2 linked regions of the Bombyx mori genome follow. The protein of the gene in region 1 binds, or shares a complex with, the protein of each later gene. Links are inferred from orthologs where the notes say so. Each region holds a gene or a part of one and is shown on either strand. Other genes may lie near its edges.

Evidence for each region.
Region 2: the proteins of myosin heavy chain, muscle (region 1) and myosin light chain 1 are in contact, whole or in part, in a crystal structure (PDB 5W1A), measured with the Drosophila melanogaster proteins. The link is inferred for Bombyx mori from reciprocal best matches to the Drosophila melanogaster genes Mhc and Mlc1. Residues at the interface, in NP_723999.1 of Drosophila melanogaster: Arg25, Ile26, Ser29, Asp718, Lys720, Met721, Arg722, Gln724, Ile725, Pro728, Arg776, Leu780, Gly781, Ile783, Met784, Ser785, Trp786, Met787, Gln788, Ala789, Trp790, Ala791, Arg792, Gly793, Tyr794, Leu795, Ser796, Arg797, Lys798, Phe800; in NP_001287569.1 of Drosophila melanogaster: Phe14, Val15, Val18, Met19, Asp33, Arg36, Ala37, Asn39, Leu40, Asn41, Pro42, Thr43, Leu44, Glu78, Gln79, Gly80, Cys81, Asp84, Phe85, Glu87, Cys88, Leu89, Lys90, Leu91, Tyr92, Asp93, Lys94, Glu96, Ala103, Glu104.

Annotation. Positions count from the first base shown.
Region 1 is NC_085114.1:1,599,501-1,603,330, forward strand, and holds part of myosin heavy chain, muscle, read right to left. Parts: intron 3,069-3,830; coding exon 2,889-3,068; intron 2,645-2,888; coding exon 2,485-2,644; intron 1,878-2,484; coding exon 1,819-1,877; intron 1,549-1,818; coding exon of another isoform or gene 1,496-1,548; intron 972-1,495; coding exon 884-971; intron 706-883; coding exon 588-705; intron 1-587. UniProt on the Drosophila melanogaster protein: Muscle contraction.
Region 2 is NC_085112.1:7,820,545-7,824,947, reverse strand, and holds the start of myosin light chain 1, read right to left. Parts: upstream 2,872-4,403; 5' UTR 2,393-2,871; coding exon 2,390-2,392; intron 2,072-2,389; coding exon 2,044-2,071; intron 428-2,043; coding exon 270-427; intron 1-269.

The sequences.
Region 1 (3,830 bases):
AACTACATGAGTCGTGAATTTCTAGATCTCTATGTTGAGTCTGTCCATTTTCGACTAGGTCATGCGGTCACCACGCTAGGATGGTATCGATGTTTCCTTGCCTTTGTATGACCAATACGATAGCTTTCGGGGTCGAGCCCGACTTCCTCCAGACACTTCCTAGCTGCCTCTTTGGGATCTTTTTCGGCTGTCATGACGACGGGTGCAAGAATCATGTAGCTGTTTATTAAATATTAGTTTTATAAATGATTAAAATAGACAGAGCGTATCAGACGTTGTGCATCAGGACGATTCCCGACTGAGAGGTGAGAGTCATCGAAACTATTTGCGAATTCGTTGCTAGAATCTCCAAAATGACGTCAGCATTAGTCAGTGGTCGGCCATACAGAAATAAAATCTCCAGCGGCCTAGGAATGTTGTTTAGACTTCAGCGAGTCGAAAGTATGAATCCTCAGAATATATTTAAACCGTGTTGACGTGTGAAATAACTTTTATTTGATGACTCAAGAGCGTGATTTTCGTAAATGTTATTCTAATGTCTACTTCGTGATACTATAAATAGATTGTTTCATACAAGCGATTCTTACCGGAGCTTGAAGTCAGGGTATACCATTCTGTTGGGGAAACCTTTACGGCAAATACGGATGCCTTCAAGCACACCGTTACAGGTGAGCTGATGCATCACAAGGTGAGAGTCGATGAGACCTATGTAACACGGAAATCGATGTCAAAGATTATGTTTCGTTGAGGTCGTGTATATTTGGAAAATGAATACCCAATTTTAATGGCTTTTTTAAATCGATCGACAAATTAAAAATTCTTTTCCATCAAATTTTAATATATTCAAATTATTTTTTTGTATAAGTTTAAAACGAAAACTCACCAGCCTGTTTCAATTCATTGGGAATGATACAACGCACGAAGTGAGGTTGGGTGGATCTCAGCGTCGTCATCAAGTTGTTAAGTTGTTCCTGTATATATTGGTAACATTAATATAATTTCATATTTATTATAATTTAAAACGTATAAAGCAAAACCACATGAAATGCATGTAAAGAAAACTTGGTCGTAATTAAGTTTTCTATAAAAACAAATATAAGCCACACAACATATATTATAAAAACAAGTGAAGTATAAATTTTTGGTGAAACAAACATAAAAATAAAAAAACCAAAAGGTTAGAACGAAAAAAGCAAAAGAAAACTCAGTTGAAAACTTAGCAAGGTTTCGTATTCTGCTGATGTTAATAAATGTAATGGTTCCTCTTACATTTCTTCGTTAAATTACAATAAAATGCATCTAAAATGAATGAAAGTGCAATTCAAAATTGACGTATCTTCATGGGTGACATGATTTCAAAATTACCTCCAAGTTTCATGGATAATTTCGAACTACTAAAAACACTTGATGTAGGCTACATTTAGGTAGTTAACTACATCATTACGATAATAATAATAAAAAAACAATAAAATCTAGTAGTTGAACTATTAAATACCCTGTAAGCGGAGGAAACGGTAGCGAAACCACCACCCTTCTTTCCACGACCGCCTATGAATATACATTAAAACAAGCAAATTAGTTTTGGACGATCACAGGTATATGAAGACAGTAGGATAAGTTGACGAAATAACCGCGACGACATGAGCTGCAAATGTACATTAACGAAACATGATTATTAATTTGAAAGCGTGCAAGATCATCCCTATGCAAGACGCAACCTCTCATTCTATAGGCGACGGTCTAAAGCGTGTTGACAGAAAAGGACAGCACGAAGGAGCCACAGAAGCAAATCTCGGACAATTTTGTATGCGAGTTTACCCTGTAGAGTGATGATACAGTCTGGAAGGCAGAACCCTTAGCGCGTTTGCCACCAGCGCCTATTTCATTTTAAAACAGTGTCAGTATGTGATTTTTTTGTATTTTAATATAATGAACGATGAAGTCTATTCTATGAAAGCGTATGGAAGTTGATCGGTGAAGTAATTTCCAATACAAGCTTCGTTGATAAAATGATATTTGCTGTTATCTAAGGATCTTTTATATGTATTATGTGCGTGAAACAGTGTTACTTGTAAAGTGTAACACTCGAATGAAACGATGTAGATATATTGCGTGTATGATTTTAATGTGATTTAATTGGGGTTGTCGTCCCTGTGCCGCGTCCTCCGTATTCATATGCAGCGCAGTTTGGCGTTCAGTCAGTTCTTCTCAAATTTATTACAGCAAGAAAAAAATTAAAGTGATTGAAATTTAAAGCAAAGAAATTTACATTCACTTTCGCTTAAACTATCGAATGCAGAAGAATTACCCATCCGTCCGTAATTGATGACTATCTAAGATCGGTAATGGCGTAACCACAGAAGCCGTGGCTACAGACTCAGTTTAAAAAAACTCCTCTAAAGAAATACTTTTATCATTATCATCGGGATACTATAGAATATTATCATTAAATAAGTAATAAGTATTTTATGATGTGAAACGTACCCTTGCCACCGGCACCGCCGGAAGCATCACCAGACTGGCCAGGATGATCAGCGAAGATCTCGACCAGAAGTTTGTTCTGGCCCTTCTTGAACTGGTCGACGACGGTGTCGTTAAGCGGGTCCTTGTTCTTCTCGAGCCAACCGGTGATGTTGTAGCCGACCTGTGGCGCAAGGAAAGTTGAAGTTACAACATTTTCTTTGACGGGCGCTTAAATTTTTTGTGGCTGTGTAGCGTTCTTGTGTGAACTTTAAGAACCAGTGACGATGGGTTTTTGTTTTTGACAATGATTCATTCGTACAAAAGAGTTCTGAAAGGACGTGATTTGTTAAATTTCGTTTGGGCATACTAGAGCATTGGACTACTTCATCTTCAATTTGAGGTTTATAAATTGAACAGATACTTACGTTACCGGCGTAGTGACCAATGGCGAAGTGAGCAGCTTGGCAACCTGGCTTGGGGGGTTTGGGCTTCAAGTAAGGAGCAGATTTGCCCAAGTGGTTGTTGTTCAGCTTCTCAACGAAGGTCTGGTCGGTGGCTTTCGGGAACATAGACTCTTCCTCAAGAATGGAGAGGATACCCATAGGCTGAAAGCGTATGGTTGGGGTTAGACCGCGAAATCGAATTATTTTATATATATTTTAAATATTTTCTTTACAAATTTTCTTTTTACTTTACCGTACAGCATACTCAAAGTAATTAAATCAGTTAGAAGATAAATAGCGAATTGTATATTTTATTTGATTTCAATGGCACTCTAAAAAAGCTTTTACACGAAAATAATCGGCAAGTTCTTATTAAGCTTCATGCAAATTGAAAAGTGTATTTTGTAGCTGTTCGTATACTTTGATACTCGTTACAAGCTTAATAGCATCAGTAAAAACAGTAGAAAGCTGTTTTACATTGCTTCATATAAATATGTCAAAATTTTACCGAAGCATTTACATTTGCTGTGCGGATCTATCAGCTTTGTGTGGTTTAATAAAATTTACAAATACTGTTTGAAACAAATCGAAAATGATTGAATTGTCAGCAATTGAGTTGATATAAGTTCAACGTGCTTTATAAGCATTTGACTTTACCTCATCTACGGCGGTGTCAATGAAACTATAGATAAATTGTCTGAAGTTAATCTGGCTACGACTTAATGCCTGAAGCTTAAGAGGGAACCTCTAATACCTTTTCTATTAAATCTATTGTCGGTTGTAGGTCCAGACCGAAATCCATGAAAGTCCAAAGAATACCTTCATGCTCGTAATTCTCTTGTTCAAGTACAAACATGTAATGATTAAAATATTGTTGCAGTTTCTCATTCGCAAAGTTAACACAGAGCTGATTGAACCCGTTCA
Region 2 (4,403 bases), on another chromosome or scaffold:
AAAAATTATATATTAATGATCATGTAACTTGGAATTATGTTGTATGTATTTGTAAGGTCATGGCTTGTTGTGGTAATCGGTTACGGTCAACAAACCGCGTGGCATTAGATAAGACGTTACTCATAGTCTAATTAAGCTAATATAAATAGATACACACCGCTCATGCTTTCATTTTCCAACCCAAAACCTCTTTGGGAAAAATGTGTCAAATGATAGCAACAGTGACAAGCGGAGCTAGGTAACTAATAAAAAAAAAAATTAGAACATACTGTGAGCAGCTTCTCGCCCTTCTTCTTTGTACCACCGAGTTTCTCGATGGTTGCCAGTGTGGGGTTTGAGTTGAGCGCTCTCAGGAGATCGCCAAGGTTGAAGGCATCGATCTTACCTTTGCCTTCAAAGTCGTAGATTGAGAAGGCGAAAGACGCCCCTGAATAAACAGATCAAATTAAGATAAGTTTTAATCCATTTCGGTAAAATGTCATTTTATAGATTAAGTGCTTTAATGTAACGATGATTGGTATCCGGGACATTCAATAAGATTTATTCTTTTCCATAGAGCAAGGAATAAAATTTTCAAAGTTCCAAAGTTTTCAAAAGCTCCAAAGAACAAATACAGTTTCAAATTCGATCGCTAAGCTATGCTTAGCATCAGGCGTTTTATGTTGAAACCCGTATTGAATAGCAACCGATAAAGTAAATTTTCTCAAACACTATAATCGATCAAATCATATAGGTATAAACTTTTAGTTTTGTAATTACCTTATCTATTGTTTGAGAATTAAGTGTAAGCTCCATGGATGTTCAAATTATAATTTGATTTTATAAATACACTTCTATCTTGTATAAATAATCCTCAAAAACCTCTCTCTATTGTTTATACGAAATCGAATCAGAATAATTCATTCACAGCGTATTCTGAATTATAGTATTTATGAAAACGTTCCAACGAATTCTCGAACATGTTCCTGAAAACGATTGCCAGGTGCTTCGGCGCCGTGTGGGAACGTGTGGGCGGACATTCTTGCCCAGAATAATACTTTTCCACGCTGTGTTTCAATATTCACTGTACAATGAGTCACAGTCTAATATTAGAACACGACTCTGCCCCAATTTAATTTGGGTGCCAAATCCGACTGATTTGTAGATCATTTATTTTCGTTTCATTTCTCAGTTATCTAAGTTAAACTGCTCGAAAATCTATCGACGGCACATAAATGGATAGAAGGGCGTTTAAAAAAAAATATATTGGAATCTTACAAAAGCCAATAGAAACCGACAATCTTACTTGATCAAATCTTATCATAAAGAAATAAGGGCAAATTAGAAAGGAGAGATGAGTCTTATTTGATTTTTTACCAAATTGATTGGTAACGTTAACGAACCCATCGAATGAAAATTAAAGCAATTAGATATTAGTGTTATGCAATTTATCAGTTTAAAAAGTGTTATTTGAGATTTAATAAAATATAGCCCGATATTGGTACCGTACGTACGTATTTGTAATGTGTATGTATCTATTTGCAAACCAAAACGCAGCTGATCCAAAATGACGACCTTGATAATGATAAATATTGTAGGAAACCTAAATTTACCAAATTATAATCAACGATATAAGATGTATAGAAATATATCGATAGATTTATTAATTGTTTTAGTTACTACGCCAAGAACGCCCAAATTTTTGTTTGCAGTGAAATCCGAGCACGGTTTCTCTGTTTGGGCGGACGGCGGTGCCGGATCACGTGACGCTTCGGTTTAAATTTGGAACGTTCCGCGCGCGTCGAATATGAACAGTTGCCGCCAACTTTGCTGACCCGTCTACCACCGCCAATAATTCTTTAATTTGATACCATTTGATAATCAATGATACCATTTCATTTCACAATAATACATATTTAAATGTGCAACATGTAGAGATTCCAAAAACTTTTATATTCACAATGATTTTGAAATAATAACGTCATTAGTGTACGTTATTGATAGTTGATTAACTTCCAGAAAAAAAAAAATTATAATAAATTCAAACAATCAAACAATACTCACTTTCAACGTCGTTCTTGCTGAGGTCGCTCTGAAAATGACCAAAAATGTTTGGTTATTCCATGTTAACAGATTTCTTAATAAAATAGTTGTGTGGTGAATATTAATCTGTGTGTTCTTTTACATATTTGCATGTGTTCGTGTTCGATGATTAAAATGAAAGAAGTCATCCTTGATCGTAGCAGAAGCACAACACTTTTGTACTGCATAATTTGTGAATTCTTCCGAGTCGCCCGCAAACATTCGGATCACGAGGATTTGATCCGCGTTATCCGTCACTGATCTCGTTTTACAGTCCATAGTTCACACTGTACACATTATCACGTTTCCACTGTCATCAGTAACTCACCATTTTGTGTGGTGTTTGTCGGTTCCCTCCCGGTCTTCACTGGCAGACGTTCAGACAAGAAGTGGGGCTCCGTAACTTTTCGCGGGACGGTTTTAACTCGCTTAGATGGCGCACTCGTCTGGATATTTGAGATTTAGCCCAGGAATCAGCCACCGTTCTATTTTCGGCGAAGTAGATCCGTTTCCATGGTGTCTTCGAGTATACGTTCTTGATGCGAGTCGGAGCGAGATAAGCGATTTTCCACCTGCGCTGTTGCGGGGTATCGGGCAACACCAATCCAAATCGTAAATCTACATATACGCTAAACTATTTCGATCAGATCTGAGAGGTGTGATCTCCCTATTATCAAAATGTCGTCTTTAGTGCCAGCTGATGCTTGAAAAATTGATTAATAGCAACAACAAAATTGAGACATAGCTTTATCGTTTTGAAAGTGAATACTGCGCAGATGTCACTGTATACGAATCTCAAAAGGCATTTGCATAACAGTACATTTTGATCAATACATTACAGTCATTCATTTGCTAAAAATATCTCTTCGTTCAAATTTATTTCCGCATACATAACAGTGTTAAGAAGTAGTCCAGCGTTATCTAATGAAAAAAATATTATTCAAAAGCAAAATCAGCCACAATCTTATATTATGCATCTTGAGTTATATGAGCTATGTTTTTGTAGTCCATTTCGAAGCCAAAATAAAAAGAAGTATGGTTCAGCTTGTGTTCATATTTGGGTACGTCGATGGGTATTTTTTTACTAATCTGCTATATGGACTAAGTAATGTTGTCATGGTCTTATTTCTAGATGTTAGTGTAAGAAAAGTCGTCGTGCCTTAAAGGATAAGACGATCGGTATATTTGTATCGAGCGGCCGTGGTGTTCAAATCCCAGAGGCAGGTATCAACATATGTAATGAAATATGTACTTAGCAAATGTTTATCAAAGACTTCCATGATGAAAGAGCATCGTGCAATAAAAATCAAACTCATGAAAACTATAACTTGCAACATTACTGGTGGTAGAAGGTCTTGAGCCCGCACGGGTCGGTACCACCACTTTTTTTAACGCTACGGAATGCGTCTACGGATACCCTGTCGAGGGGGTAACAAATCGAGAAATATCGGACTTTGGCACCTCAGGGCTGAAGAGGGAGAAGAGGAAGATCGATGTTCTTCTCTTGTTCGAATTCCTCGTAGAAGACTATGCCTTGAGAAAGGCGCGCGAGAACCCACCCCATGGTATCGACTAAGCTCCATAAAACTTATCGGCTAAAATAATACCGCATAGTGCGCGTCGAGAAATAAATATCGCCGTTATCCGTCTTGATGACAGGATTTCTTCTCAAGAGAAATCCCAAAAGACATCCGGAGATACACCGTGGCTGGCGCACAGATCACACCTTGCGCCGTCTCACCACTGAGTCAACAGCTTAGCCCCGGACGTCCCCGCACCAGGCACTCGTCAGTCTCTACGGGAGCTGAATGAGGAGTTCCCTTTCACGTTTCTTTTACCTCACGGAGCACACTGACCGGGTTGCAGAGCACCACCACGTCCTCCTACAAACTCCGGGCCTCTAACGTGCAGGCGACCACAGCTCGCAAGGAGAGGTATTTCCCCAGCACAAGCAACCTACGCCTTGAGGGCGTGCTGAGCGTCATCATTCAGGGGCTCGCACTGCTGCCACCACGGACTTGATGCCCTTGATGATTTCTGCCGTGAAGCAATTGAAAGGTGAATTGAAGTGAAGGATTGAATTTGATGGGTGGGGCAGCCGTTGTACTGCAAAACTGAGGTTTAGAACTCATGTCGCAAGGTGGATGGCGGCATTTACAATGTTTATGGTCTTTAGTAAACACTTAGCACCCGACGAAGAGTTCGACGAGCGAACTAACCAATAGAAACAGACCGCTGAGTTTCGAATTTCGGAGTTTCGGAGTAGCCGGTCTTCTCAATGGGTTGCGATTCCGATCCGGTGGTAGATTCTGCGAAGCACTGCTCTCAATAGGGCTAGTGTT